Cricetulus griseus: one gene and its partners. Each later gene encodes a partner of the first gene's protein in a complex. Links are inferred from orthologs where the notes say so. Each region holds a gene or a part of one and is shown in the gene's direction. Other genes may lie near its edges.

Region 1 (7,913 bases):
ACTAGAATTTTTCTGTTTTGTGTGGGTGTGATGTCTGTGTGTGGGTTTTCAGGTACAGGCACTTTTGTATACATGGAGGCCAGTGGAGGACACTGGGTGACCTGTTACTTGCTGCCTTATTCTTTTGAGGCAGAGCCTCTCTGGACCTATACATTGCTATGTGTCCTTGTTTGTCCCTGTTTCCAACCCCACTCAGTGGGTGCTGATGGTGTATAAACACTGAGCTTTGTCTCCAGCCCCTAAGTTATATTTTCCCTACCAACCCTTTACATGTACACATACAAAATTACACACTCTAATTGACTAGTTCCTCTGTAATACTATTAAATGCTCTGATACTAATCTGGGATGTATGTTGAAATTGGATGCCATTAGTTTTGAAAAAAAGAAGACAACGTCAGAATCATGTATTTATACATTTTCAGAAAAAATAATTGAGTGTTGTATAGAAATGTTTCCTACCGTAGTGAAAATGAAACTTACTACATAGGACCTGCAAGATGGCTCAATGCTAGAAGAAGAGAACCAACTTCCAGAAAGTTATTTTTTGGCCTTCATATGTGTTCTATGGCACAGTGCTCCCCTCATTCCTAATATATAGATAAATGTAATTTCTTAAAAACTTACACTGTAGTCTGCATGAATTTACACTTTAACTGGAGTAGTATTGAATGTACTCCTACCTAAGCAAATAGATTTAAATTATGAGCTAAATCTTGATGAGAAATTGTAATGAAGAAGGTTCCCTGGGTACCAGAGAGGATCTATATTACTTGCCCAAAATAATAAATGTTCTGTAATAGAATCCTTTGGGGCCTTTTCAAAATTAATGTCATAAATATTTGGGGGGGGTGTGGTTTTGAGACAGGGTTTCCCTGTGGGTTTGGAGGCTGTCCTGGAACTAGCTCTTGTAGACCAGGCTGGTCTCGAACTCAAAGAGATCCACCTGCCTCTGCCTCCTGAGTGCTGGGATTAAAGGCGTGCACCACCACTGCCAGTAATGTCATAAATATTATAAATTTAAATAATTATCTCAAAAAAATTTAGTGTGTTAATGAGTATAATTAAAGATTTATTATGTATATAACATTCTGCCTCCATGTATGCCTGCACACCAGAAGAGGGCACCAGATCTCATTATGGGTGACTGTTAGCCACCATGTGGTTGCCGGAAATTGAACTCATGACCTCTGGAAAAGCTGTCAGTGCTCTTAACCTCTGAGCCACCTCTCTAGCCCTAGATAATTCTTCATGATCTCTAATTTTAACATTTTAAAAATCATTTTCTATATATTTAAAGCCCAAAGAATGTTTCATTTTTATCCTTACTGGAGAGAGGTTGTAGAACCTTAATTTCTGCCATTAGCTTGTGCAATGAATTGGCAAACACTGGCTACATTTATGTGTTTTTTGTTTGACTCTTTAAGAGACTGGATCTCACTGCTGCTCATGTTGTCCCCTAACTTTCTATCCTTCTCCCTCTACCTCCCCATTGGTGTAATTTTAAGAATTTGGCACTAGGCCAGATTTGCTGTGCTTGTGTTTATTAAGTTTCATGGTGACACAGCTATAATCAGTCTGACTTGCAGTAGTAGTGAATGAGAAACCACTGGCTTGCAGGGTATGAAACACTTTCTTCCTGGCTCTAAAGCAGGAAAAGCGTTTTGTCAAAACACAAAGGTAATCTTTCTGATAGAAGTCTCCAGTTTGTCTTTGTTTTGTTTTAAGACAAGGTCTTACTTACTATGTAGACCCAGCTGGTCTGGAATTCATAGAGATCCACCTGCCTCTGCCTTCCTAGTGCTGGGCAGAAAGATGTGTGCCCCTAACATTTGGCTGTGTATACATACATACATACATACACACACACACACACACACACACACACACACACACACACACATACATCTTTTAATAGATGACTTTTTCCTTTTTAAAAAAATGACATCTTTTATCAAGCTAGTTTATAGCATGCTGAAATTGTATTTTATATAGTCTTGCCAGCAAGATAATTAAATTTATCATTTATTTCATAGGAAGATGAAAAATTTCTGACAGATTTGTTTGCACAACTGACAGATGAAGCAACAGATGAGGAAAAAAGACAAGAATTGGTAAGAAATCATACACTAGAAGGGTAGAGAAGTGGAATAGCCATTTACACTCAATTGATTCTCTTCTAATTTAAGATTGACCTTTTTAATACTTGTCCTTTTTCCTGATTTCAGGTTAATTTTTTAAAAGAATTTTGTGCATTTTCTCAAACGCTACAACCCCAAAACAGAGATGCTTTTTTCAAGACTTTGTCAAATATGGGCATATTACCAGCTTTAGAAGTCATCCTTGTAAGTTTGCTTCTCTACATTCTGAACTGCCCAGGTGAACCATATCAAAAACTGGATGTGATATTGGAGAGTTTTATTATTTGAAATTATAAAATTGTATCACTTTTCCCTTTCCTCCTTCCCAGGCACCTGCTTGTGTTCTCTCTCTCTCTGTAACTCTAAGTTAATGGCCTCTCTTTCTTTAATTATTAACATATATATCTAAGTACATAAATACAGAAGTTTTTATGAAGTAGGCAAAGCATTTGAGTATAGCTGATATTTAGTGCTAGCTGTGTAGCATAGAGTTAACAGAAATGATACAAGTCCAGTATTAGAGTCCTCCTTTGTTTAACTAGCAAACTGCTTTTGTTAAAATAATTTTTTGCTGGATGTGGTGGTAATACACATTTAATCCCAGGTAGAGTTGGGGAAATTTATGTGAGTTTGAAGTAGCCTGTTATACAAAGGATTCCAGGACTTTGAGAGCTATACAATTAGACCTTGTTGTACATACATATGAACATACATATAATAATGTAATCACATCTTTAATAATTAGCTTTATAGCCTATCAAATGAAATGTTAAAATAAAAGGACATGGTTGAGAATAGTGATTCATGCCTTTAATCCAAGCACTTCTGGTCTCTTTGTGTAGTCACCCAGGACTACACAAAGAAATTAGATCTTGAAAAATCATACATTACACAGACAATTATATACATATTTATAATTCCAGCACTAGAGAGGCAGAGGAAGGACAATGGGTCTCTGAGTTTGAGACCAACCTGTTCTACGGAGTGAGTTCCAGGACTACACAGAGAAGCCCTGTCACCAAAAAAAAAAAAAAAAGGTTTTAAATATATCTTGAGGATGGGGAATGGTGCCGCCACTAAAAATGGTACCTATGCAAGCCTGATGACTAAAATTTAATCCCCGAAACCCATGTCAGAAGCAGAAGCTGGATGTGGGGTGGGTGGGTATGTGGGGGGGAGGGAGGGAGGGGAGAATATGATCCCAGAACACACAGTAAGGTAGGATTCTGAGGCAGATCTGTCCAGAAACTTACAAGACAGCTAGCCTTGAGTATGCAGCACTGCAACAGATCCAAGGAAGACCTTGGCTCCTCCTAAGATTTGTCCTTTGACATTGCTATGTATGCTGCCTACTTGGGTATCAATCCGTGCTTCCTTCCATTCAGTTTGAGAGAGGGTCTCTTGCCTTTTGTTGTTATATACTGCATGCTAGCTAGGTTAGTTGCTTTCATGGAGTCCCCTGTCTTCACCTCTAATCTTACCATAGAAGCACTGGGGCTACAAATGTGGACACTGTCATCCCTGGCTTTGCATGGGTTCTTGGGATTTGAACTCGGGTTTTTAGGCTTTCTTGGTAACTGCTCTATCCAGTGAGCAATCTCCCTAGCCCTTAGATAAATTTTTACAATTCTGACCATTTCATACAGTGTGTTGTGATCATGGTCTCCCATCCTCTTTTTCATTCCTTTCCACTTTAGCTGATCCCTCTCTTTGTCCTAAAGCATCCCTACTTTCCGTTTTGTTTTTTTTTAAACAGGGTCTCTGTATAGCACTGACTGTCTTGGAACTCAATTCTGTAGACCAGGCTGGACTGAAACTCAGAGATACACCTCCCTCTGTCTCCAAAGTGCCAGGATTAAAGGTGTGGGCCACCACTGACTGGCTCTCATTCCTATCTTACTTTCATGTCTTTGTTTTGTTTTTTGGGACCCAGTGGTTTTAATTAGGGTTGCTTATATAAGTGAATGTGGATAAGGAGTTGTTTGCTAGAGCATCAACTTACCAGTGGCTACACCACCAGGAAAGTGGTTCCCCCTACCAATCATTTAGATGTTTGTTTTATGGTCTGGTGCTTTGTGACAATTTCTTTTGTCAGGTTTTGGATAATTTTGTTGATAAAGTTCATGTTTTTATAATTGTAAGAGAATGGCACTTTTTCTATGCAGGGCATGGATGATACACAGGTGCGAAGTGCTGCTACTGATATATTCTCATACTTGGTTGAATATAATCCATCCATGGTACGAGAGTTTGTCATGCAGGAGGCACAACAGAATGATGATGTAAGTAAGAAGTTAACAGAGCAAAAAATAACCAGCAAGGTAAATATTATTTACACTAATAGTAAGTATTTATGCATAGAAGACTATAGCTGGGGTTATGTATTTTTAAGATTTAAACTGCTGCTATTTGGGAAGTGTAGCCATAGTGTTAGGTGGCTCATTTGTCCCCTTAATTTGCTCCTGCCTTAGTTTATAAATTTATTGTATTTGATGTCAACTTTTAAATTATGAAGCTGACTTGTCTATATTGTCTTATTTAAACCCTTAAATCAGTTGACCATTCTGTTTGTGGAACTGTAAGTAACTTTCACTGGAAAGCATTTAGACTACTAGAGGTGGAGCCTCAGAATCAAGAAAAAATATGGCCCTGAAATGTATTAGGGAAGTGTTTCTTTATAATAATAAAAATAAGTTATTTTCTTGTACTCTCATATAAGCTATGGTGGTATTTACTCAGAAATTAGAATAGGTAAATTGGCTTTAAAATCTGTTAGCCTGTCTTGGCAGTGTAGATTGAATTTGGTGGGACATAGTGTATGTAGAAGCCCTGGATGTGTATGAGCTTTTCTACTTCACTCTACTAAACCAGTAGTTCTGTTTTTTCTCCTTCCTCCCAAATTTTACTTAAGAACAGATTCAAACCGTCTCAATTTCCTTGAGAAGAGGAAATTTATGTCTCCTTTTAGGGGAGGGGAGTTTGCAGAATTTCAGCTTGCAGTGTTTCTTGCAAAATGAAGCATAACATTTTTAAAAATCTACTATTCCACCAGTTTGAAGTTGAATGCCTAGTAATTTCTATTTGTGGTTCCTTCTTAAAATTATAGTGGTAGACTACGTGCAGAAATGTACCATGAATTATTGAATCATGATCACATTTTTCTTCTATGAAATAGTCCTATCTTGAGAACCAGACTATCTTGAGTAATTAAAGCTAAAGGCTGTTCTCTTAGGCCCTGTAACCACTGGGTGAGCAGACATGCCGGCCTGTGCATCTTCACACCCCACGAACATGCATTAGGCCTCTGGATTTCAGTTACCAATCATTTCCATATAGTGTCTGCATTTTCTTTGTCCTTGTCTGTCTTACCACTGCATACATAGGCAAGCAGAAGGAGTTTGCTCATTGTATCCTTCAGTTTTTATTAATCCTCTGGGCCAAGAACACCATCCCTAAAGGTCCTTGGGAAAAGCATAAATTGTTTTCTCTGACATTTGTAATCTACATTATATACTACTGTTCTGGGCACTCCAGTCTCACTATACCCAATTTATCATTTCCACAAATGGAAAACTGCTATTGTGTCAAAAAGAAAAGAAAATTAAGAAGCAATGAAAGCAAAGCAGTTTTATAAATTCTGACTATAAGTATTCTTATTTTGAACCACGAATGTAAAGTCCATGAGCTTTCTGCAGAGAATAAAGTTATTAGAGAAACAAAACATGTTTTAACACCAAACCTGGCTTTTGTGATCCTATTGTTTTCTTTAATCAGATAAGTTCAAAGATAATAGAAAAAGCCAGAAGTAGTGGCACATGTCTTTAATCCCAGCGCTTGGGAGACAGAGGCAGGCAGATCTCTGAGTTGGCAAGATGGACAGTCTCTTAGTTCTAGGGCACCCTGGAGAAAAAAATAATGGGAAAATAAACTTAATTTTTTTGGTCCTATTAAAGTCTTTGTATCATCTGTTAGGACAAAGAAACACTCCCATCTATCGTGTTAAATAGTCACTACTTTGTTTGAAGTTAACAAGATGGCTAGTGTTAGCTGTAATGCTATAATATGTGTCTTAGTAATTATATTATGTGTATTTTTATCACCAGGATATTTTGCTCATCAACCTCATTATAGAACATATGATTTGTGATACAGATCCTGAGCTTGGAGGAGCAGTCCAACTTATGGGCCTGCTTCGAACTTTAGTTGACCCAGAGAACATGCTAGCCACTGCCAATGTAAGCCATGGCTATTTCTTCTTGTTCATAGCAGTATGTTTTCTATTGCTGGTAGGAACCAATACAGTTAATAAAGTTCATCGAAGTATTTTTGATTCCTTAGAAAACAGAAAAGACTGAATTTCTGGGTTTCTTCTACAAGCACTGTATGCATGTTCTCACTGCTCCCTTACTAGCAAATACAACAGAAGACAAGCCTAGTAAAGGTAAGATAACTCAGGTTCGTAGCTTTCTTGAATTGTCAAACTCAAAAACTGATGTTGAGTACAGTTTAGATTTAAGGCATTGGGGCTGAAGAGATAACTCAACAGTTCAGAGCACCGGCTGCTCTTCCAGAGGACACACACTGCTGCTAACAGTCTACAGACTCCAGTCATTACCACCCTCTTCTGACCTCCATGGGCACTGTACGTGCATGGTGCAGGCAAAAGAAAAACTAATGTACATACAATAAAAAATAAATTAAGTCTATAAAGAAAGGAACAGAAGCAGGAGCAACAGGATATACCCTAAGAAGGAAGTAACCATCTCTAATAGATTGGGTGAGATTTTATCGTGTGTTTTCAAGAGATTTTTAAGATGAAATTTGTGTAAAAGTACTATAATCACAGCTAACAAAAATACACCAAAAAAAGTAGCTGTTGTTTTCATTTCAGGTTTTGTTTGTTTGTGTGTTTGTTTAAGAGATCTCTCTATGGAACCCATGTTGGCCTCAAACTTACAATCTTCCTATTTCAACCTCCTCAATACTGGGGTCACAGATGTGTGACAAACTATTACAGCTTATTCCTTAGGGCTTACACTTAAGTGTATGTTTAAAGGGTAGCTTTAGAGTTACTATTAGGAAATTGCTGTTGGAGCTATATCCAGAAATCCATATATATTTTCCCTTATAATTCACAATATAGGGGCTGGAGAGATGGCTCAGAGGTTGAGAGCACTGCTGCTTTTCCAGAAGTCCTGAGTTCAAGTGCCAGTTACCACATTTGGCTTACAACCCTCTAATAAGATCTGGTGCTACCTGCTTCTGGCCTCAAGGCATACAGACAGACAGAACACTGTATACATAATAAATTAAGAAACAAACAAATAAATAAATCTTTTAAAAGAAAGAAGTAAAGATGCCTTGGTCATGGTGGGCCCACACACACACACACACACAAATCACAGTGTAGTATGTTGTTTGGTTTGGGGTGGTTTTTTTTGTTTTTTGTTTGTTTTGTTTTTCGAAACAGGGTTTCTCTGTGTAGCTTTGGAGCCTATCCTGGAACTCACTCTGCAGACCACGATGGCATCGAACTCAGAGATCCACCTGCCTCTGCCTCCGAGTGCTGGGATTAAAGGCGTGCGCCACCAACGTCCCGCTCAGTGTAGTATGTTTAAATCATACTCTATTACTAGTATTATTCATGGCATTAATAGATGTACTATTGTGAAAAATAAATGTTTATTTTTACTTTTTCCCCCCTTGAGACATGGTTTCGTTACATGGTGCTGTCCTCACTATGTAGACCAGGCTGGCCTTGAACATCCGTGG
Region 2 (6,993 bases), on another chromosome or scaffold:
TTTTAAATTGAACATGTTACAGGGAAGATACAAGATCTTGTATAACCTACCTAACATTGTAGGTTATACCAGCCTACATTTGCTTATCATGGCATCTGAAGGCCAAAATTAGAGCAAATACTTGTGATGTGTACTTTGGAATTTTTTCTAAAAATGGAAAATAACGTTCATTTATCTCATTATAGGTCTAATATAAATGGGCCTGGAACACCCAGGCCACTTAATCGACCAAAACTTTCTTTGTCAGCCCCCTTGACAACAAATGGTTTACCTGAGAGCACAGATAGCAAAGAGTCAGATCTGCAGCCAAGTGAAGAGAAAGCCCACAGGTTTGTATGTTTCACATTTAAAGAGAAGAGAAAGAAGTGCATAGAAATTTAATGTCTGTTAGTGGATTTTAGCACTATTTACAATTCACAAGGTACATGGACTGTCTGTATTTGTGGGTTCCGTCTCTGGGTTTGGTAGATTCAACCAGTAAAGGATCAAAATCAAAAGTAACTAGGAAAACAATTGCTTTTGTATTGGCCAGGTATAGACTTTGTCCCCCGTGCACATAGTGTTTATTTACTTGAATTAGGTATTCTGTCACCTAGCAGTGATTTAAATTATAAGGGAGGCTGTGTGCAAATACTGTACCTTTTATATATGGACTTCGAGGTCTTCAGATTTTGGTCCTGGAACTTCCATGGGTCCTGTGGGGTGACCCGTTTACTGTTCTGAGGGAAAGAACAGGCCTTAATGTGGCTGGCTGGGCTATGACTACTATGTCAGTACAGCTAGAGATGAATGTAGACAAGATTTTCTAGAATTTCCCAGAAAGGTAGAACTAGCCAAGTCAGTTCCAGTGGGAACATCCATGAAATGGTTCAGATTGCTTTTCGATGATTGTTCTGTGTTTTTCTCGGCACCAGTAGTTGTGTTTAATTTGATGGTGCAGTTTGTTAAGTATTTAAACTTACAGATGGGCATGTAGAGTATGACGAAAATAATTTTATTAATAACACTTTAAAAACCATCGGCAGTGACTCTCCAGCATCTGAACCAGAAGTTTCCTCACTGAGCCCTGTTAAAAATAAACATCCGGATGAAGATACTGTGGAGGCTGAGGGGCATGAGGTGAAAAGACTGCGCTTTGACATAGAAGACGAAGACCAAGAGACAGTTAGCCACACGGTGTCCAGTGAAGGCTCAGCTGGCACTGAGGAAGCTGAAGCAGCATCTTCCCCTCCGGAGAAGGACAGGGAAAGTCAAAGCAGGCAGCACTGTACAGACGAGGAGGAGGAGGAGGACGAGGAGGAGGAGGAAGAAGAGGAGGAAGAAGGTGAGAGGAGAGTTCCCGTGAGTACATTCAGTGGTGCTCCTCACAGTGCTGGTGTTGGGCTCTTGTCCTACCTGTGTGTGGTTGCCAAGTTTGAGTAGATACGATCTGTAGATAACAGTGTACGAAACTCAATTGGATGTGTTTGGAAAATAAAATTTAATTCCAGCTTTTGCTTATTTCTAGAATCTTTTATGACACCGAGAGAAATGGTCTCAGAGAAAAAAAATCAAGAAAAAGAATCTGATGACGCCTTAGCTGTGAATGAAGAGCCTTCAGAGGAGGGTACGCACATGGAGGACTCTGATGGGTCTCCAGCTCAGAGAGATCCTCACTCGGAACGGAGTGACATTGCAGGGGCTGTGAGTAGTGGTTCTGACTGCCCTGAGACAGAAGAGCCAGGAGGGACCACTTCCAGGAAAACGGGAGAAAGTGTCTCCGTGTCATCCATGGAAAATGATGAAACCACAGAAATGACAGATGAACCAATGGAACAAGACTTAACTACTTAGAAACATTTAGAGGCAGTATTTTACATACAGTTCTGGTTTTACACTGTATAAAACTTTTAAGTAATAAAGTGGACCTTTAGTTTTACAAGAGAAACAGGCTGTAAAATAAACTTAAGAATAAACCCTGAAAGAGTTGTGCGTCGAAGAGCTGTGAATACCGGCTCCTCTGGGTCCTGGTTATTGCTGATTTTCTTGTTTTGTTTGGGTTTTTGTTTGTTTTTTTCCTGGTGTACTCAAATCAGTGGTTTGTGTATAGATTTTTTTTTTAATTTTAGAATTAAAGTTTTTAAACTGGAAGATAATTATAATTTTGAAAACTTTTTAAAGATGATCACATTTGGTTTATACATACACAAGGGAGATTTTTGTCTTGTCTCTAGCGGTTTCCATATTTCAGTCATAGTTTGAACATGTTAACATGTGAATTATAGGGTTTCATGTGGTTTCAGATTTTATTGTTCAACTGTCCAATGGAAGTTTAAGTCATATATACATATATAGATTATTCTAAGGGGGATGTTATATTTTTCTGTTTCTATAAGAGATGACTACAGTGGATACTTTTTTATTGGTAATGACTGAGTTCACTTCCTTCAGAAGATACTTTGTTTCTCTTCTGAGTAATTTAGATAAAATCTGGCCCTGGAAAACCCTGGGAATCTTTAAGTCTATTCAAATACCAGGTTAAACACATTCCAACAGATCTGTGCAAACTAAAATTCTTTTGTATACTTCTAAGGTGCCTGAGGGGGAAAAAAAAACTTCATTATTTATGAGAAAATGTGCTTTATCTTGGGATTTGCGTAGGAGCTTTAGCTCACTGTTTGGTAGAAGGAGTGCTTAGGAGACTGACAGGAAACCATCTCAGAAGAGCCTGCAGGTCCCCTAACGTTTCACTTGCTTTTCTGAACATTGTGAACATCACACCTTTGTTTCTGAGTTATCCTGTATGCACATGGCACTGGTGTGAAAGAGCACTGTACTGGAAGAATAAGTAGATTACTTCAGTAATGTACCTGAGCTTTAGGGGTACACAGACCACCATGATTTGTACAACATTTTGAAGTGAATTAATATTTTTGAACATGCTTCTTAGACAGCCAGTGTTATATTTTTCAGATCAACACAAAGCACAATGGTTACTACTCTAAATATTTTCAAATTCACATATTTAAAGTCATGCAAGCTGCAACTTCCCTGTCAAAATTACTGGCTGCCAAATTTATACCTGTTTCTTCAGCTGTACCTTTTGATATTTAGAATTTTTAAATTTCTGTAAAGTAGATTTTGTAGACTGTAATGTGTTCACTGCCTTTGTGAAGCGGTATAATTGTATAATTTCGTGTGTAAACTGAATGCTTGGGCTTTCAATACAGTATTCATATAAAGCAATAAATATTAATGTTATGAAATATTCGAGTACATTTTTATCAAAATACAAAAGAATCCCTTTTTTTAGTTTCAGACACCTGAGGTACACAGATGGACTTATAGTAGGTGATGCAAACAGCATCTCACACTGTATCATAAGCTTTGGGGGATTTGGAGGGGAACCACAAAGTTTGCATTTTGACTACTTAATTGCTATGACTAAAAATACAAGATATTTGGCTCCATTTGTTCATAGAGTAATATACTACTGACTGATGACCTTCAGGTTCACAGCAGCCAGACAATATATGAGTCTAATAAAATTGAACGTTGATTTACTGTACCCAAGACGGGTGAAAATCAAATGTAATTTTTTAAAAAAAATTGGCAAAATGTTAAAATGAAGCAAATTTTGGATGTGACATTCATATGTAGTGGACCTGTTACTCTATTTTGTTGAGGGATTGCTAGTGAGAGCAGGTTTTAAACATTTTAGGTTTAGAAACAGGTTTTCCTTAGGATATTTATGAGATTGTTGTCAATAAACCTGTTCTCTAAGCTCCTGTGACCTTTGATAGTCTTTATTTGTGGTGCCATGGACCATTTGTAAACAAATCAGTTTGCTGCTGGTTAAAAGTTGAAGATTTAGCATCATGAATGGTGGTCTGTGGTTTTATTTGTAAACTTGCAATTGCTATCTTTGCAAGGGAAAATGTATTTCTTTATTAAATAAAGTACAATAATGGTGAATGTACCAAAATGACATCACTCAATTCTATGAGAGGTCTGCATTTTAATCTGTAGTTTAATAGTTTTAATATTTATTAGCTATTCCTATGTTGATCATAGATGAAAGTTTGTGCTGTTTATACAGATACATGTAGGATACTGGTGGAAGGTTTCTAGGGCAGCTGCAATACTCATCACATTGTGAAACCATGCTCAACAGGCTGTAAATGCCTTGCCCCCTTGGAAGCCCATTTCCACAGTATGGTTAGGTGCACTTACCACAGACGTTGTGCAAAGAAAGCATCATTTCTAACATGAACTGAGTCATATGTAGGTTTAAAAGGCAAGTTTTAGGCACATTTCCTTAATGTACCCAGCATAGTTCTATGAGAAGATCCAGGAGAATCAAGACTTGGATGACTGACGTAGCTGGCCCTCTGATTCTTACCTGTTTCTCCATTCCCAGCCCTGACATGCAATAGGGTGATGCTGATGAGAAAACAGTATACATGTGACTTGTTTTTGCTATTTCCCCCTTTTAAAAGGTGAACCTTTTTGAAAAATGTGCTTTCAGCTCTGAGAATGTGGCAGAACAGAAATGAATAGTGAGAATATATTTTGAGTGTTGATTAAGTTTAATCCACTTACTGTTTGTCACAACTACAGCCTTGCCCATGTGTGGTCAGAGCATTGGAGTTAGTCAGGGAGCTGTAACTTGTGGCTTTGGAAACCTATCCCAGAAGTCTTGGGTTGGAAAGTCTGGCTGGCCTGTTAGAGCATTGAGGTCCCAGTGTTTTATTTTGACAGTGTAGATAGGCATGTATTTATGCATTTGTAAAATCAATTTTTCAAATAATGTATGTAATGTACTAGTTTACTTAACGGTACTTGGGCAGAGCCTAAAGCTGCTGCGATGTTTGAATGTGAAAACTGTAATGAGAGGACGGGAAATGTACCTGCAGAGCCAAAGCAAATTATTTTGAGTAGTGTTTCAAATTGTCTTTTTGAGCAGGAGTTTCTTACAAAATGAAGGTCAGTTCTTGAGTTTTGTGCTAATCATGAGATGAATGGATGCAAAAAAGACCTTGTAATTTCATATGGAATTATGAAAATTAGTTTGACTGGGTTGTTGGCCTAACAAGGATGCTAGTATGTATTGGCTAGAGTACATATATTTCACATTTAAAAAATAATCCGGACACCAGAATTCTCTATTTCAACCTGGAGCCTAGATCACTTTGCCAAATAAATGTATTATTTTCATAATGCAATAAAATGTAAAATAGAAGAATGTCTTCATGTGTGGAATTACTTTATTTACTATTCTAGCACACCTGCCTCTCCCCATTTTCCCTCAGTTGAGGGTCAGCAGGGAGGAAGCTTAATGCTTGACCTAAGTGAGGGTGCCAGCAGGGAGAATGCAGAGTTGCATGGACAGTGGGGGTCTTGCTAGGCGTGTGCAGATTCTCTGTTGGCATGACTTGGAGATAGTTTACATGCATTGATATGTGTGTTGGTAATCATTTGAGAAACCCCACCTTGAGGCACCTGCATGGTAAGTGATTGTCTGGAGAGGGGGTTTACAGTTCCTTTGTGGCTTTACACAAAGTGTTATGGATAGGATGTGTGAGTCAGGGTTTCCTGCTTCTCATTCCTGGTCGACCTTGTGACTAGTCTCCATTAAAAGTTAGCTGCTAAGTGATGCAGCCAGTACGGAATCGAGGACTAGTAATTTAAGTGGAGTTAAGTGTACTAGCAGGAACCGGTCGTTCTCTGGCTACTTTCCTGTGTAAGGTGAAGATAGTGAAACCGGCTTTAGTTTTAGAGTTTATGGTCTTTGGGTTCGTCACTACTCAGAAGTGAGTGAGTAGTGAAGTATACTTTTGAATGTTTTATGATTAAATTTAATCCTGGGTTCGATTTGCAGCGGCCACATGGTGGTTGTAACTGCATTCCCAGGGGTTCTGATATCCTCCTCTGGGCTTCTCGAGTTCTGCAAGCATGTGGTAGACTAACACGCAATCACACAAAACATCTATACACACAAAAAGATAATTAGAAATGAGATATTTGAATCTTTGGCATCGAGGTCTGGAAGACCTGCCCTGCCAAGCCCGTCAGATGTGTGGTGTGGTCCTCTCAAGCCCCTCTCACCCTCCAGTTTCTGAGTAGTGTACACCCCAAAGTCGGGGGTGAGAGTGGGGGGGGGGGAGGTCATTTACATCCAGTAACGGCACAGGTAAATCCGGTTGCTGTTTCTGTCCCACTGCTCTTGTCTCCATCTCCCTCAGTCCCACCCCTCCCCTCCAGCCGGTGCTCTCCCATGGAGCCCAGCACCCCAGCAAAAGTCTTGATCCCCTGGGTTTGACTCCTGCCACTTGTTGCCATGGTAATCCCCAAACCAGAGGACAACCTGTTAGGAAGCACAACAGGCTCTGGCAGGTGTCAGTTGCTAAGTGCGCATGAGGTCAGGCCCTGTCCTGGGTCCACAGATAAAGTCTCACCTTTGCAAACACAAGGTACTCATCGTTGCCTGCCTGGACTCTCATAGTGAATGGCTCACATACTGAGATACCGCCCCTCCCCTTCTCCCCCCTCCCCCGCCCCATTTACTGAGCAGATCTTTGTGAAACTTCTGAATTGGTACCTTAAAAGCTGCCTCCCCCATCATTTAAGCTGCCCTTTAGCTTCCTCGTATACACATGAACCATGACTTAATTTAGTGTCCTATAAGTGGCTTGGTGGTATTTCAGCTTGCCAGTTCAAGCAGCTGAACACTTCAAACCAGTCCCCTCCCTCATTCCCTGGAAAACTGAACAAACCATTAAACTTTATTACTTAAAGAATGGTTAGACAAGGCGTGATACTTGTCCCTGGGTCCATGGTGGAGGGAGGGAGGGCAGGACTGGATGGTAAACCCATGTTATATTTCAAGTCGTCTTATGTACACCAGTACTTAGGAGTAAAGTATATGCCCTAGTTTGCTTCTCTATTGCTGTGATAAAACACTGGCTAAAAGTAGCTTGTGGGAGGGGAGGGTTTATCCTGCTTCCAGGTTAC
Region 3 (7,913 bases), on another chromosome or scaffold:
GCAGGCGGATCTCTTTGAGTTCGTGGCCAGCATGGCCTGCAGACAGAGTGAGTGCCAGGATAGGCTCCAAAGCTACACAGAAACACTGTCTCGAAAAACAAAACAAAACAAAACAAAACAAAAAAAAAGAATGCATGGTGCTCTGATAGTGAAATTTAGTAGATTGTTTTTAAGGAACTCTGTATGTGATATTGAAATGTTAGTAATGGTTTTGTTACAGGTATGTGCTGCCAATTTTGGAGATATTTGCAGTGTAGTTGGCCAGCAAGCCACAGAGGAAATGTTGGTAAGTGTCCCAGATAGTGAAGAATAAACGCTGTATTACAGAGTAGTAGAGATTATTAACATGGCCCCATGACTCCAAACCAGAATGATGCTTACAAGTTTAGTATTTTAAATGTCTTCAAGGCGGCATTTGGAATGTATGTTGATAAGGATGGTTGGTTGAAAATTAAAATCCATGTGAGAAACACTGATAGACTTTAGCTTCCCCATTTCTGCCTAGTAAATCAATTGACTCAGCTGAGTCTTCAGTCTTACTTGTATACTCACATTGGCACTTAGACCTCATGGCAGCCTCAGTCGTTACATTGTAGCATGTGTGTACCCCGTGTACAAGTTCCTTCATCAAAAGGAGCGCAGGTGTGAGCTCTTGGGCAACGCCAAGTGTGTGCATTGGTGCTTTTGCACTTCTAGAGCGAATTATAAGTGGATGTAATTTATTAAAATTTTCTGATTACCATCATTAAATACATTTTCTACTTTTTAAGAATATCCAGCATTTAAAACAGAGACTAGAAGGTAACTGGTGACCTTGTGTTTGTGCTCACATAGCTGCCCAGGTTTTTCCAGCTGTGCTCTGATAACGTCTGGGGAGTGCGAAAGGCCTGTGCTGAGTGCTTCATGGCTGTCTCCTGCGCCACCTGCCAGGAGATCCGACGGACAAAGTTGTCGGCGCTCTTCATTAACTTGATCAGCGACCCTTCACGTTGGGTAACATTGAGTCTGTTTCAAACTAAGTGTGATTTTTTTTTTTTAAGAAATTTGTTTTTAATTTTTTTCTCTTGTGTCTATGGGTGTTTTGCCTACATGTAGGTATGTGCACCCTGTGTGTCTGGGGCCCATGGAGGCCAGAAGAGGGTGTCAGATCCCCAGGACAGGAGTTACAGGCAGGTGTGAGCTGCCACGTGGGTGCTGGGAACTGAACCTAGGTCCTTTGGAAGAACAGTCAGTGCTTTTAAACCACTGAGCCCTCTCTCTAACCCCATGAAATTGAAGAAATAATTTTAGAATGTCAGGTGGTGGTGCACACATTTAATCCCAGCATTTGGGAGGCAGAGGCAGGTGGCTCTCTGAATTTGAGGCTAGCCTGGTCTACAGAGTGAGTTCCAGGACAGCCAGGGCTAAATAGAAGGTTACTAAAGGTTGTCTTTTTGGTACTTGGAAATTTTTTGTTTTATTTTGTTTTTGTAAATACAAGTCATATTGACTTGATGTTTAACACTCACTGGCTTTGTCTTTTTCTTAATTTCTTTTTTTTAATATGTAGTTTTACCAGGCACTGAAGGTCTACACCTTTAATCTCAGTAGTCAAGAGATAGAGGCAGGTAGTTAGAGACCAGCCAGGTCTACATAATTAGTTCTAGGCCAGCCAGAGGTACATGGTGAGAGCCTTTGTCATTCTTGAGTAAGTGTGTCTGTCCGAGTGTGCCCTTGCGGCAGAAGTGGGGTTAGAGCCTCTAAATCTAGAGTCATCTTTATAGCTGTCAGTTTCTCCTCATTGAAAGACTGAGTGTACTTCTGTTGGACAGTCTCAGTTCTCATCACTTGTTTTCAGAGCTTACAAGAAGGGTTTGTAAGGGTCTGTTTTGTTCTGTGTATTATAGTCTGTAGCACTCAGGCTCCTATTGTTAGAATAGCCAAGTCAGAAGAAAAACTGAAAGTTAAAGAAAAAAATTATAAAGCTTTTTAAATCCCAAGGAAAGATGGATTCAGGGTTCTCTGACAGGGCTTTCCTATGGTCCTGTACTTTGGTGTGTGCAGAGTAGTCACTCTCTGTGTGTGCATTGTTATTTCATTTGTCTTTTATTGTTTTCTTGTTGTCCTCATTTCTCCTTAGGTACGCCAAGCAGCCTTTCAGTCTTTGGGGCCTTTCATATCTACGTTTGCTAATCCATCTAGCTCAGGCCAGTGTTTCAAAGATGAGGGCAAAAATTCAGAAGATTTACCAGCAGAAGAGAAAAACAGGTATAATATCAAACAAAGCTTTGTATTCCACTTGTACTATTTGCAAACGGCATTCTCACTATTTTACCCAAATATTTTTTAGTTAGTACATGTTTTAAAGTTACTTTTTTAAATATATGAGTGACACATTCGGTAGTTTCTGGTATTTAATGGTGATTTGCCTAGGAACCTGTTGTTGTTCAGCACACAGGCTTATACATTTATTAAATACTTTCTAAACTTTGTTTCTAATACCTACTTTAATATGTTTGCTTTTATTTATAGTTCACTCTGACTCTTATTTTTCTTTATAGTCAATTAATTTAATGTGGGTCTTGGATTCTCTGTCTATAAAATGATCATTGTAATATTAATAATTGGTCCTAAATTAATGTGCTTATTAAATAAAAGCATAACTTAAAGATAACCAAAATTGTAATAAAGGTTGGAAATCTTATTGTAAGATTTCTGCATTCAGGAATTGTAATTGGCACTTAGTTCTATGGTTTATTGGTTACACATTCAGAGAACTACTTGGGTCCGACAGTGCAGGGGACGTGCGTAAGCGTCTGCGGACATGTTCTTGAACAGCCCCTTGCCTTGGTGCTAATGCCCACTTTCTTCTGTAGGTCTTGATACTGTGGTATTTGCTTTCTTGGTGTTTTGATTTGACAGTCCTTCCTTTCTCCTCTGCTGCCTTGTTTTACCTTTTTGCCTGTTCTCCTACTGTCCTGCCAAACACATCTGAGGTACTGTTTTTTTGTAAAGGAAGACAATGGCATCTGACTTGGTCTCTCTAGCAAGCTCGGGCTTGGTGCTTTTGGGAACCGCTGCTGGAAGGGATGTTATAAAAATGGTGGGGTGGGGTGGGGTGGGTGTCGCCTGCTTTTCATTTCTGAACTCAGCTTACATTTTTTTTTTAATAATCATTTATTTACATTTATTTTTAATGATCAATTTAAGTATACTGAAGATGGCATATAGCTTGGTCTTAAATGTGGAAAGGGTCTGACGAGTGAGTGTGTAAATATATAGACAGGGATGTGTATAAGACAGCAGGGACCACTCCCCGTAGATGCAGATAGTCAGCCTTTTCATTCTCGGTCATGGCGCTAGGCTCTGCTCGCCTTGCTGTGCTTGGGTGGCATGTTATTAATAAGAGCAGTTGCTGGGCTGTGGAGTTGTGCTTGATGGCTAGAGGGATGTCGCTGGAGAACAGCTATTTAGCAGTAGTTTGCCGTCTTGATTGGCTTTGCACTGTAATACCAGCTGTGTCTTGGTATCAAGTCTGAATTATTTGTAGCCCTGGACTTTACAGTTGTCATTGAATTGTTAACGACTTAGGAAGGGAAAGGAAACTCCTGAGCAGGGAAGGGCATGCTTTAAAAATGCAATAAAAGCTTGTGCAACACTTGTACGTCTAGTCGGGCATGGCCACCTAGAACCAGAGGTTTGATCGCTTTGCCTTAAATTTAAGCACTGCTGTGTTTCCAAACCACTATGAAAGCGGAGAACCCAGGATGAACTAGAATTTGGTTTCTGTTCTCAGGTTTTCAGTTCCCTAGGATTCATATTTCTCAGTGTCAGACTAAGTAAGGGATTTTTGTATTTTTTTAATGATGTGTATGTTCCCCCCATGTGTGTGTGTGTGTGTGTGTGTGTGTGTGTGTGTGTGTGCCCGCCCGCCCGCTTGTGTGCAAGCCACCCACTGTGGCTGCTGAGACCCAAACTTGTGTCCTAAACAAGAGCATTGAGTCTTAATGGCTAAGCCATCTCTCCAGCCCCTGGAGTAAAGTTTTGCCTCTAGGTTTTTCCGTCTTTTTATTTTGTGTGTAATGTTTTATCTGAAACATGTACTGTCACTTAGCATTTTTATAAAGATTTATTGGTTATAGACATCTTGTCTTTATCAGACCTGCTGGCTATTAGTACCTCTTTCTTTGAAGATGGTACATACAGAGACCGAGTAAAATAATGAGGTCTGGGCTGTAGCTCAGTGATGGAGCCATGGCCTAGAATGTGCCCTGGATTGGATTCCTATCAGAACAAAAGTAATTTTGAAAAGTGGACACTGCTGTATTTGTTGAAACAGTTGCATTGTTTCTGGCTGCTTACTGTTGTGGGTGCACCCTGTTCCTTGTGCTCACCCTGCCTTTATTTTGCCGCCCGCCCTCTGTTGGGAAGCAGGTTCATTTCGTGTGTATTGTCTGTTAACAAAATAGTTGTCAGTGTGTCCACTGTCCACACCCACACCCCCAGAATCATAGCCTATGTGACAGGCTGTCTACAGTCGCATCATCCTTTGTATAGCACACAGGGTAAGTTCAGAAGCAAGTGGCTGAGGTGCAGTGGTCAGCCACTTGTTCCTTCCTCTTAGCTCCAGAGCATCCAGTAGTGCTCTCATTTTGCTGTCTCTCATGGCAGCACTTGCCTTTATGTTGCTTTTTCTTCTTGAATGTTTTTCTTCCATTTACCCCATAAACACTTGCTGGTTGACCTGCAGTTTCCTCTAAGACCTTGGTTCCCACTCCTTTTGCACCCTCTGCTTGATGCTCAGGCCCTCCACTTGGGACCACACCCTCCTCTTGGGGATGGAGTAGACATTTCTTCCTGTATATGTAGTTTGACTGTCCTGAAACCCACTCTGTAGACTAGGCTGACCTGGAACTCACAGAGATCCTACTGCCTCTCACTTCCTTTCTCGGGACTAATGGTGTAAGCCAGCACTCCCAGCTGCATTTTAATTGTCACGATGGTGATTTGCTTTTGTAGTTTATTGTTTGTTTACCTGTAATTATAATCTCAGGAGTAGGTGCTACAACATATACTCAGTTTTCAGGGTTTTGGTGAGGATTTTTGGTTTTATTTTTAGCTGTTGTTGTAGGGCCTGGCTGCTTTCAAATTCTTGATCTCCAGCCCAGCCTTTCAAGGGCAGGGTTTACAGGTGTGAACCACAACTGCTTATTTCCTTTTGTTTATTATTATTTGTGTATGCTAAAGATTGTGTACGTGCGTGCCTAAAAGCCAGAGGCCAATTCAGGCATCTTTCAGTTGTTTTCCACCCTGTTTTTTGAGACAGGGTCTCCCATTGAACCTGGAACTTGACACTTGACAATTCAGCTGTGCTAGGAGACCAGCAGGCCCCAGAGAGCTCTTGTTTTCGTCTGCTGGCACTGGAATTATAGGTGTGCATCAGTGCTGGGCGACTCAACTTGGGCCTTCACATTTGCACAGCAGACACTTTACCTAACTCTGCAAACCAAATCCTGAACCCTGGTTTATTCCCGGGTCCTCATAGGTGCCCAACAACTACTCACTGATAAAGGACAGGGGGACGGAAGTCGTGAAACTGAAGGCTGTAGTTGGGGGGACAGATGGCAGCAGCCTGTTCACTAGGAGCTTGTGCTGCTTTTCCTTATCTGTTATATCTTGATTTCCTTCTGGAAAAAAACCTGTTTTTGAAGTAGGATAGGAGATGAAGAAATAAAAATAACCCTTTATTTACACTTAAGTAGATTTTAATATATTTTTATAAAATAGTTAATAGGTATTTTCTCTACTGCCCTATAGAGTTTTTTTCTTATTCCTCTTTTATAAGCAAAAATGGTTTTGATTCTTAGCTTTCACTGTGTCATTGAACAGTGGCAATACAAACAATCCCCAAATAAATAGTTTGTACGTATCTTAGAATCCACTTCTTCCTGCTGTTACTGATATTCCAGTAGTTTGCAGCACCCCAGGATTCTTAAGTGTCACTTTCTCCTGCTCTTGATAATGCTTGCCTGCTGAGATAAGTTTGACAGGTGTTTACATGTCTGAATACAGGACCATCAATGGGAAGACCATTTGGTCCCTGTGGGTGATGGATCCTCTGAAACACTTAGCGAGTCTAAATGCTGTGTGTCCTGCTTTCCACTAGTTTTTCCCAGTAACTATTTTGTGTGCTTCCATGTTTCTTTTCTCCCTAAATGAATCAAAGGCTCAAAGATCACTATGCTGCCGAAGAGGAGCAGATGGGGACAGAGGATGCTCCCGCAGACTTTAGTGCCAGCCTGGAGAGCACACGGGAAGACTGTGCCGCCAAGACTTCTGGGAACTCAGCAGGTGACATAAGTGTCCCAGAGGACAGCTCCTCACTCTGTACTTTGTCCTCAGAGTCTCATCAGGAAGCAGCTAGCGATGAGAATGATAAAAAGCCTGATAACTGCAAGTCTGCAATCCGGTCAGAGGTTGGCACCAGCTCCCCAGATTCCACTCCTTTAGATCAGGAATTGTTCAACTCCTTCTATTTCTGGAGGACTCCTCTACCTGAAATAGATCTTGATAAAGAGCTCCAGCAGGACTCTGGGGAGAGACTCAGCCCAGAGAACACAGGAGATGCACCCGGAGTCCCTGAACCAGCTTCTCCTAATATCACCATGGCTACCCGGAAGGAATTAGAAGAAATGATAGAGAACCTAGAGCCACACATGGATGACCCAGACGTTAAAGGTATGGGTGAGTCCATTATGTTCTTTCTTTACTCCAAAGGTGATCTTAAAAATGTACTAACTCATAAGCGGATACCAGACATAAAGCAAAAGATACCCAGCCTACAATCCACAACCCCAGAGAAGCTCTTCCAGAAACAGATGGAAGCAGATGCAGAAATCCACAACTAACCATTGGGCCAGGCCTGGTTGTTCGAGACAGGGTTTCCCTGTGACTTTGGAGCCTATCCTGGAACTAGCACTTGTAGACCAGGCTGGTCTTGAACTCACAGAGATGCACCTGCTTCTGCCTCCCAAGTGCTGGGATTAAAGGTATGCGCCACCACCACCCGGCGGAAAAACCCTTTTTGTTAACTGTCGATACAGTAGATTCCCAAGAAAAGGTTGGCAGAACAAACAGATCCTATAAGGTGAGACACCAAGATAGTAGAAAGACCCCTCTCTAAGAGATGGCCTGGAGAAATGCGGTCCGGGTGGACATGCCTGGGTGGGACGTAGGTACTCTGCTAGAGACAAGTGAGCTGTCTGTGTCAAATATGTTCTAATGCTCTGAGGAGGCAGAAGTCCTCATGTCACGTCAGTGGCATGAGACATTTGCACACTGTATTCTGTATAGGCTGCTTTGAGCACAGTTCTCTTCAGCTTTGGAAACTTGAAAGACCCCAGAGAGAGCTGAAGTGATGGTAATGATATTTACAAATTATAGCTGGATTTCTGAAAACAATGAAAGTCACCATTGAATTTTCTGTATAAGGAAAGCAGTATTAATTGTCAGGTTTAGTAACTAGTGCTTGCTAAGTTGTTGTTTTGACTTTGGGCAACTAAGACAATATTCTTGGGATCCTAGTGTTTGGAACAAACTGGTGATTTCAGTATCACAGAAGGGTGGTGACCTGTGCTAAAATGGAGACGTTCTAGTGTCTCTGCCGTTACTTGATGTTGCCAGGGTTCTTCTAGAATAGGGAATAAGTGGCGCTGGTCCTCTTGACGCGTAACAGCAGCGCCCGAGCCCCGTGGTGACCTGCGGTGCCTCCAGCAGCTGGGCAGCAGAATGCATTGCAGGCTCCTGCTTGCTCTCCCGAAGGACTGATGATTTGGCCACAGTGTCAGAAGCACACATTGTCCTGCTAACAGATAATCATCCGAAGAGAACGTCGGCTGTCGCTGTCCCGCTCGCTGTCCCGCTCGCTGTCCCGC
Region 4 (8,544 bases), on another chromosome or scaffold:
TGCATCTATCTCTTAACGAAGGCCACCTCTTTCCTTCTGCCCTTGTTCTCTAGGGGTCACTTTCCTGTCTGGAGGGCAGAGTGAGGAAGAGGCATCCATCAACCTCAATGCTATCAACAAGTGCCCACTGCTGAAGCCATGGGCCTTGACTTTCTCTTATGGCCGAGCCCTGCAGGCCTCTGCTCTGAAGGCCTGGGGTGGGAAGAAGGAGAATCTGAAGGCTGCCCAGGAGGAGTACATCAAGCGAGCCCTGGTAAAGCATCATGAAAGGGGGGGTGTGAGCAAGTGGAGGGGACTTGGCTCTCACCTGATTTCTCTCTTCCCTTTTAGGCCAACAGCCTCGCTTGTCAAGGAAAGTATACCCCAAGTGGTCAGTCTGGAGCTGCAGCCAGTGAATCTCTCTTCATCTCTAATCATGCCTACTAACCAGAGGTGATCTAAGGCTGGCTGCCCCATCAACACTCCAGGCCCCTGCCTACCCACTTGTGTTCAAGAGGGGGCCTTCAGGCTCTTTCCCATCACTCTTGCCCTCGTGACTGGTGTGTGGTGTTGTCTCTGAATGCTAATTCTGCCATCCCATCCAGCCCACTGCCAATAAACAGCTATTTAAGGGGGGAGTCTGTTGTCCATGTCTTATAGGGGATACGGGAGGCCTGAGGAGAGAGCCTTATTTTGGGTTCTTCCTTTCTGGGTAGTTAAAAGGATGCAATAAGGCTTTGTTGATCTGTATACTTTTGAGGAAGGCTGAGTATTGTGAAATGCTCTAACCACATCTAATTGAAAGGGAGTGATCTGCTGGAGTTATAGGCATAGGGCACTGAGCCTATTTGGCTGGGAGCCAAGCCTGGGTTTTGTGAATGCTAGGCAAGGACTCTGCCACTGAGCGACACCCCTCTCTCTCATTCCTAATTTAGGCTTTGTTATCTTGCCCAAGATGAAACTTTCTTGGTGGGAACAAAGCATTTAATAAACGTAGCTATTTTCCCATTGCAACAGGAAATGGAATTACCAATGGCTTTTTAGGAGCCTTTGAAGACTCAATCTTCTCCCACGCAGATATAGGTACACACAGAACTCAGGTACACAACTGCAGAATTCAGGTTTCGGGTTAAGGACAGAGCAGAACAAGGCCCCCCCCCCCCCACCAAACTATGGACTACCCAATGTTGAGTGTTGCCTGAATGTTTGCGTACAATGTGTGCCTGATGTCCTTGGATCCCAGAAAAGGGTATCAGATCCCTTGGAACTGGAGTTATGGTTGAGAGCCACCATGTCGGTGCTAGGAATTGAACATGGGCCTCCTGGAAGAGCAAAAGGTACTCAAAAGTGTTCAGCCCCATCATACCTCTAGTAATTTAAAGTTGTTGAAGATTATAGGTATAAACGGGGACTTGTTTTAGTCTTAACCATTTAGTTTTCTGTGGTTTCTGTAACCTTCCTGGTCTGAATCTTTTCTGTTCTATTTCCCTTTCAAAATATTTTTCCTTTTCACACTTTTCTATGCACAGAATAGTCTTTGGAGTATCAAAAGTCTGCTGTCCACATCTTTCTATGTATGGCCTATAGCCCAGTGGTTGAACACTTGCCTGTCATCCATCTGGTTCTAATTTAATTCTGGGAAACAATCTTTCTGTTTGGGATCTCTCTCCTATCCCTCCCCCCCCAGGGTTTCTCTATGTAGCTCTGGCTGTCTATAGACCAGGGTGGCCTCAAACTCAAGAGATCCACTTGCCTCTGCCAGGATAAGGTGTGGGCCACCATCCCTTGGCTTCTAGAAAACACATAAATAAAAACATGTTCAAAATTGAGGGATGGTAAAAGACATTCCAAAGGGGAGTATGATGTTCAAAAGTGTAAATTAGGAAGATTAAAAATCAGGCTACTCCATCAAAAGATTAAGGAATCAGAAGACTTTCAATGTGAATTTGGAGAGTGTTAGGTCTTTTTTGTATTGCTCTGAGTTTCAGAAAGTAAATGAAAGATGAGAACCACTTTTCCTGGGTTCACATTTGATCCTTGGTTCAAACACCAAATTTTTAGCTTTTCAATTTAGCAATTTAACCTGAGCCACCAACACCCTGAAGGAGTATGATCAGACAATAGGAAGTAATGTTGGGTGTGATTGTGTAACACCTGTAATCATAGCACTTGGGAGGCCCAGATGAGATTTGCTGTGTGTTAAGGTCAACTGCAAATTTTGGGCCATCCTGAGTTACAATGCGACCCTGTCAAGAAATAGATAATAGACTATTCTGGAATTAGGGAATCTTAGAAACAAGCTTGATGTGGGGAGAGTAGGTACTTTTTTTTTTTTTTTTCCAATTAGACCCCCTGTGGGTCTTGGAGATCCAATTTAAGTCAGTTAGGCTTGGTGACAGGCAGTCCTTGGTGTCAAATATGCTATTTTGGTGGGTTTTGGTTTTGTTTTTCCGAGCGGTTACTATGTAGCTATGAGACCCTCAAATCCTCGGTCCAGCCTCAGCCCCCTGAATGCTGGGATTACAAATAAATGTGCCACATACCTGGCCCAGGTTCTGAGTTCCCATGGCAAAGGCCCATGGCAAGATACTTGGCTAGGGTTGGCCCATTCATTTTGGACTATACATGTCTGCAATGCTTAGCCTTATTCTAAACACTGGGAAAGCAACGATGAACTGAGCAGTTCACTTCTCAGATCTGTAGTAGGAGCAGGACAGAAAGTCAGCAAGAGAAAGTGCAATGTGAGATGACAAGCTTACCAGAGCTCACGTCATTTGGCGTACATAACTGACGCAGAGATGCTTGCCTACCAGACCCGGTCGCCCGCCCACTTCCGACTCTTTAGTTCCTCCCGTGCGCCGCGAGAGGGGCGTGATCGGTATATGTCACTTCCGGCGCGCGACCGATCTGGCCTCCCTTTGCTTCCGCGGCGAGGCCGGAAGTAGAAGCGACGGTGGCGGAGGCCCAAAGCGGAGGGAAGTGGGGAGTCGGAGAGACCCAGCCGGAGTCCTAGCGGCGGTAATTGTCCGAGGCCCCTCTAGGCCACCGTCCTTAGCGCGGGCCCGCGGGGTTCGACGGGAGTTGGCGGGGTGCGGCCAGGGCATCGGGACGCCGAGGGTCCTGGACCGCCGTGAGGGGAGGGGGGGGCGGTCCTAGAATCGAGTCCCCCCTCCCGCACGGACCCTCTGATTGGCGGGCTCGCCTTCGCCTTTCCCAGGAGACCCCTGTGCGGTCCGGAGGGGGCGGCGGCCCCGACTCTGACCCGCGCCGGGGGGTGGGCCATGGCGGAAATCAGCGACCTGGACCGGCAGATCGAGCAACTGCGGCGCTGCGAGCTCATCAAAGAGAGCGAAGTCAAGGCCCTCTGCGCGAAGGCCAGGTGAGCCCGCAGGTCCGCAGGAGAGAGGCCGGCCCGTCGCCCACGGGTTTCCGGCTGGGCACACTCAGCTGAGAACTTAGGGCTTGTCCCATCCCGGAAGCATTCCCGGAGAGGAGCGGTCCCGAGGGCCACTTCTCCCCAGGAACCACGGGTCGGCTGTAGATACGTTTCTAGTGGAGTCAGAGTGAGTGGCAAAAAGTTCTTAGGAAAGTTAGGAAACCCGGCCTGCTCTACTGGGGCGAAAGAGAAAGTTTCTTGGAGAGCTTGAGTTCTGGGACCGACCTTGAAGAATAAGCAGGTTCAAGAAAACAAACAAACAAGAAACCTCGTGGTTTGTAAAAGTCTATCAGTCCTTAAAGATTAGGTGGTTTTGTGCTCACTTTAACAAGCAAGGGCTATAATGGTTCAGAATTGCCAGCAAGGAGGAATGGGATCTGAAGCTGGTTCTCTGAGTGCTGATCCTTTAAGTTGTGATTCAAGAAGTAGTTGGGTCACTCTCATGTTCCGTTGGGATCCTAAGGAAAACACAGTAAACTAGAGTAGAACATAATGAGTTCCTTCCACACCAGCTTGGTTTACTGAGTGAGGATGTTCAGTAAAATGGTTGTGAATATTCATTCAGTGAATCTCGGCTTGAAGCATGGTGTTTGGGTAAGTCATGAAGTGGTAATATTTATGGTGGGAAGGGCACACTAATGGTGTATTTGTGGATTGACGCTCTTGGGCTTCTAAAAGAGGGTAGTCCTTGAAAGATAAACTCTAGCTGAGGAAACACAGGGACAAGGAACCTTCAAGCAGGGTAGAAGTAAAAGGGAAATATGTAGGCAACAGTTAAGGCTTGTTACCTGCCTTTTCTGGGAACTGTCTCAGTGTGGCTTCTACCCTGTTTAATAGAACAGTATCATAGTTCTTACCCTTCCCCTCCAATCCTTCGAGGCAGGAGGGAGAGGTGTGCGAGTGTGCGATCGAGGGTATCTGTGTGTCTGTGTTTCCTCCCATGTAGCCCTAGCTGGCCTTGAACTAGGCTGGTCTTGAACTCAAAGCAATCAGTGTGCGCTGGGAATCTCGGAATATGCCTGCCCCAGTGCTGGCTGCCCCATGGCACCAGCCCTAACAAACCTTCCGTGCTGCGTTGGCCTGTGTGTGAGCTGCAGTGTTTATGCTACACTTGCCAAGCTTGGGTTTAGAAATGGAGGACTGCTGAGATTGGACATCAGGAACTACCAAAGGGATTTTGAGAAGTAGTCACACTACAAGAACTAGAGCCAATTCCATAAGCTGTGTGTTCATGGTGTGCTGTACAGTCCTTTAATTCCAGCACACAGGAGGAAGAGACAGGCAGATCTCTTGAGCTTGAGACTAGCTCGGCCTAAACATCAAGTTCCATTCTAGCCAGGGATACAGAATGAGATCCCGTCTCCAAAAATAAATAAGATTTATTGTTTACAAGGAAGGAGCAGCACAACCCTTTGAAAAAGTGTATCCGATTGGTAGGGAGTGAGGTCAGAACTCAGCCTAGGGACAGTCAGTGCTCTAAGAGAAAAGGACAACCCTCCCAGAGTGTGTGCTGTACTTTTGAGAAGGAACCACAGGGTGAATCAAGGCTGGATATGCCCCAGCCTGCTTGGAAGGGCTTGAATAGGAGTTGGGGTGGAAGTGAGAAATTGGACTTTGTCCAGTTGGCAGCAGGAAGCCATGAGCAGGTATTGAGTGGTAGAGGGCCATGGTCAGTGCTTTCTGACCAGATTCATGGGGAAGTGCATACTTCCTTCTGTCCCCTGGAGGTTCAAGGACTACCTCATGTCCTCCCTCCCTCCAAAAAAGGTCAGGAATTGGGCTGGGCTGGCCTGGCTGTGGTGACCCTGGTCTTCTCCTGTCTCCAGAGAGATCTTGGTAGAAGAGAGCAACGTGCAGAGGGTGGACTCGCCAGTCACAGTGAGTACTCTGTCTCTTGGACCCTGACTTGGTCTTTTAAGACACATGGAAATCCTAAGTGGTGTAACAGCCCCCCACCTCTAAGTTAATGAGAGGCTAGAACACCCCAGGTATCTTGCTTCTCAATCATCTGGTGAGCCCTGATGCAAGAATTAGATAGTGGCACAGATCTTGTAATTTAGTGATGGAATGTTTCCCCAGTATATATGAGGTCTTGAGTTGTGTTCTATGTGCCACAAGAAAATAAAAGATGCTGTAGGAATTTTGGTTTGTCCTGGTGACGCTCGCAGCCAAGGCAGAAGAAGTTTGTGGATCAATAGCCCTGTTAGTAACTGTGCTGAGCACATAGAGGCAAATGGATGAAGCCAGTCTTCCTGAAGCTGCAAGTCTGCCTGCAAAGACTCTTCTGCACCATAGCAGTTGGCTTTTGGTGTGATAGATGACACCAGAACAGGCTCACTTGGGTTAGAGAGGGAATTTGGGTCCTGAGATGGGGTGGTGTCACCCTGGCTGGCCTGGAAAGTAACATGTGTTTTGAAGGATGGTGTCTGGGAATAGAGGGACTGTGCCTTTGTCCACTCTTTCAACCCACATTCTTTCTTTCCAGGTATGTGGTGACATTCATGGACAATTCTATGACCTCAAGGAGCTTTTCAGAGTGAGTGGGGGGATACTGGGACTTTGAACCTAGGGTGACAGAAAGCCATGATCATTGATAGGTCTTAGGCTGCATGGTCTGTGGGTGAGAGAAGGGGCTCAGCTAGACTCTGGTTGCTGTAGCCAGAGAGGATAGTTTGGGGCCAAGCAGAGTCGTATCCCTCCTCCCAGGTAGGTGGCGATGTCCCTGAGACCAACTACCTCTTCATGGGAGACTTTGTGGACCGTGGTTTCTACAGTGTTGAAACCTTCCTCCTCCTGCTGGCTCTTAAGGTGAGGACTCTTGGCCCCTGGAGCCTGAGCTTTGGCCACTACTTGCTGCCCTCATCACCTTTCCTGTCACCTACCTTGGAACTTTGCTGTGGCTGTGGACTGTGTGCTTAGCGGGGCTAGTCAGGACTGCTGCCATGAGTGGGGCCATCTCCTGAGCCCTTACAGAAGAGGCTGGTGATGTGAGTTTTGGAAAGCAGGCAGAGGCTGTGTGTTCAGGGAGCAGCAGGAGTTAAGTGAACTGGGAGAAGTCATAGTGAAGGGCCACATGGGGTGAGTGTGGGGTGCTAAGGACAAGAGCCAGAGTCTGGCAGTAGCTTCTGGAAAAGGCTCTCAGGAGCTTGTGAGGCAGGGACACCATGATTTATGTAAGAGACTGCGGGAGTCTGGGCCAGGCAGAGGACTGAGTGAGGCTAATGGATGTCTTGGAGACTTGGGATGGTTAAGTGGGAGGTAGAGACTAGAACCAGTTCTTGCTTGGTGCTACCCCTAGGTTCGATATCCTGACCGCATCACTTTGATCCGGGGCAATCATGAGAGCCGCCAGATCACCCAGGTCTATGGCTTCTATGATGAATGCTTGCGCAAATATGGTTCAGTGACTGTATGGCGCTACTGCACTGAGATCTTTGACTACCTCAGCCTGTCTGCCATCATTGATGGCAAGGTAGGTTGGCCCTGGATCTCCTGGGGGGAGGGGGAGGCTGTGCTGGGTCTCTGGGCTTTTAGTTCCTTCTCTCTGGTATCATTCTCCCTTCTAGATCTTCTGTGTGCATGGGGGCCTCTCCCCTTCCATCCAGACCCTGGACCAGATCCGGACAATTGACCGAAAGCAAGAGGTACCCCATGATGGACCCATGTGTGACCTCTTGTGGTCTGACCCTGAAGGTGAGGGCAATACCTGAGCTGGCTCTCCGTGTGTCTTGTGAAGACTGGATTAAGCAAGTGTATGAAGGGAAGTCAGGCAGGGAAGAGGAGGGCAAGTTTGGCCTGTACTGGCTTCTGCCTTCTCCTTGTGTGACTGGATCCTCCTCAAGGAGCAGAAAGCATGAATGGTGGTGCACTGAGGCCTACTGTGGGTTGGCTCATGAGTTTCATGGCTTAGAGGGTCTGTTCAGGATGAAACCCTTGGCTCCCTGGGGGGAAGAGGTCATAGACCTTGACAGTAGCTTCTTTGGAGGTGAGACCCATTCCCTTAGAACGAAGACCTCTGACGGTTCCTAATTTTGTGTGGTTCCCCTCTAGTTAGGGGCGGAACTGAGGTTTAAAGCCTGGCTTTCTGAGTACCAGTCCTAAGCATACTCTCTAATTCCACCACTGTTACTGCAGTCTGCGTCATGTGGCATAAGGTGACCTTACTGCCAGGAAAGTGGTTGGTCATGGCTGGTGCTCTGGGTGTGAGCACTTCCTATCACTTGAGTGCTGCTTGAACAGCACATTGTATGTTATGGCCACTGTGATGAGGAGGTAGGTCCCAGCCATGAAGCCATCTTTCTCCTCGGAGTGCCTCTGCTCCAGTATTTACTATCCTATCTTCCAGGGTTCCCTAGAACAAGCCTCTGGTTGATGAGGGGAAGAGGCACAGGCTTCTAATTCTGTGGTATAGTAGTCAACCAGAGGACCCCACACATTGTCCTTGTCTTGTCTCAGACACAACAGGCTGGGGAGTGAGCCCCCGTGGGGCAGGCTACTTGTTTGGCAGTGATGTGGTGGCCCAGTTCAATGCAGCCAATGACATTGACATGATCTGTCGCGCCCATCAATTGGTGATGGAAGGTTACAAGTGGCACTTCAATGAGACCGTGCTTACTGTGTGGTCAGCACCTAATTACTGCTACCGGTAAGCTGGCAGGACCAGGAGCCGGGGTAGGGGTAGGAGTAGGGATCTAGGCCAACTGTTGCTAACTGTGCTGTTCCTAAATCCAGCTGTGGGAATGTGGCAGCCATCTTGGAACTAGATGAGCATCTCCAGAAAGATTTCATCATCTTCGAGGCTGCACCACAGGAAACACGTGGCATCCCCTCCAAGAAGCCGGTGGCTGACTATTTCCTGTGACTCCTAGGCCCCAGCCCCTCTGGCCCTTGGACCACTGTGACTGCCCTCTGCCCAGTCGGAGGCCGGGTGTGGAGGGGCTGCCTGGCTTTGCTTGCCCTAGGGTGCGGACTGCTCTGGAGAGGTTGGGGCCTCCACTCCAGGCTTCCTCTCCTTTCTCCCATTTGATCCTTGAAGTTTCCAGTCATTTTTTTTCCTTTTTTTTCTTTTGTTTTGTTTTTAGATAAACATTTTGAGAAAAAAAAGAAAAAAAATTCTAATAAAAGAAGAA

What was found.
Region 2: Ppp4r3a (region 1) and Ppp4r2 share a complex: the UniProt entries of both Homo sapiens proteins name them as parts of the PP4 complex. The link is inferred for Cricetulus griseus from reciprocal best matches to the Homo sapiens genes PPP4R3A and PPP4R2.
Region 3: Ppp4r3a (region 1) and Ppp4r1 share a complex: the UniProt entries of both Homo sapiens proteins name them as parts of the PP4 complex. The link is inferred for Cricetulus griseus from reciprocal best matches to the Homo sapiens genes PPP4R3A and PPP4R1.
Region 4: Ppp4r3a (region 1) and Ppp4c share a complex: the UniProt entries of both Homo sapiens proteins name them as parts of the PP4 complex. The link is inferred for Cricetulus griseus from reciprocal best matches to the Homo sapiens genes PPP4R3A and PPP4C.

The regions. Positions count from the first base shown.
Region 1 is NC_048598.1:104,695,463-104,703,375, forward strand, and holds part of Ppp4r3a (serine/threonine-protein phosphatase 4 regulatory subunit 3A), read left to right. Parts: intron 1-2,036; coding exon 2,037-2,114; intron 2,115-2,228; coding exon 2,229-2,345; intron 2,346-4,306; coding exon 4,307-4,462; intron 4,463-6,244; coding exon 6,245-6,376; intron 6,377-6,479; coding exon 6,480-6,582; intron 6,583-7,913. UniProt on the Homo sapiens protein: Regulatory subunit of serine/threonine-protein phosphatase 4. May regulate the activity of PPP4C at centrosomal microtubule organizing centers.
Region 2 is NC_048601.1:43,105,390-43,112,382, reverse strand, and holds the end of Ppp4r2 (serine/threonine-protein phosphatase 4 regulatory subunit 2), read left to right. Parts: intron 1-185; coding exon 186-329; intron 330-1,025; coding exon 1,026-1,324; intron 1,325-1,507; coding exon 1,508-1,833; 3' UTR 1,834-3,762; downstream 3,763-6,993. UniProt on the Homo sapiens protein: Regulatory subunit of serine/threonine-protein phosphatase 4 (PP4). May regulate the activity of PPP4C at centrosomal microtubule organizing centers.
Region 3 is NC_048595.1:454,769,164-454,777,076, forward strand, and holds part of Ppp4r1 (serine/threonine-protein phosphatase 4 regulatory subunit 1), read left to right. Parts: intron 1-220; coding exon 221-286; intron 287-834; coding exon 835-993; intron 994-2,119; coding exon 2,120-2,247; intron 2,248-6,205; coding exon 6,206-6,717; coding exon of another isoform or gene 6,718-6,723; intron 6,724-7,913. UniProt on the Homo sapiens protein: Regulatory subunit of serine/threonine-protein phosphatase 4. May play a role in regulation of cell division in renal glomeruli. The PPP4C-PPP4R1 PP4 complex may play a role in dephosphorylation and regulation of HDAC3.
Region 4 is NC_048596.1:73,946,935-73,955,478, forward strand, and holds Ppp4c (serine/threonine-protein phosphatase 4 catalytic subunit), read left to right. Parts: upstream 1-2,844; 5' UTR 2,845-2,997; intron 2,998-3,196; 5' UTR 3,197-3,260; coding exon 3,261-3,358; intron 3,359-5,241; coding exon 5,242-5,293; intron 5,294-5,900; coding exon 5,901-5,951; intron 5,952-6,121; coding exon 6,122-6,223; intron 6,224-6,713; coding exon 6,714-6,887; intron 6,888-6,981; coding exon 6,982-7,108; intron 7,109-7,870; coding exon 7,871-8,060; intron 8,061-8,146; coding exon 8,147-8,276; 3' UTR 8,277-8,518; downstream 8,519-8,544. Other genes in the region: Aldoa (fructose-bisphosphate aldolase A), read left to right, coding at 54-253, 331-426. UniProt on the Homo sapiens protein: Protein phosphatase that is involved in many processes such as microtubule organization at centrosomes, maturation of spliceosomal snRNPs, apoptosis, DNA repair, tumor necrosis factor (TNF)-alpha signaling, activation of c-Jun N-terminal kinase MAPK8, regulation of histone acetylation, DNA damage checkpoint signaling, NF-kappa-B activation and cell migration.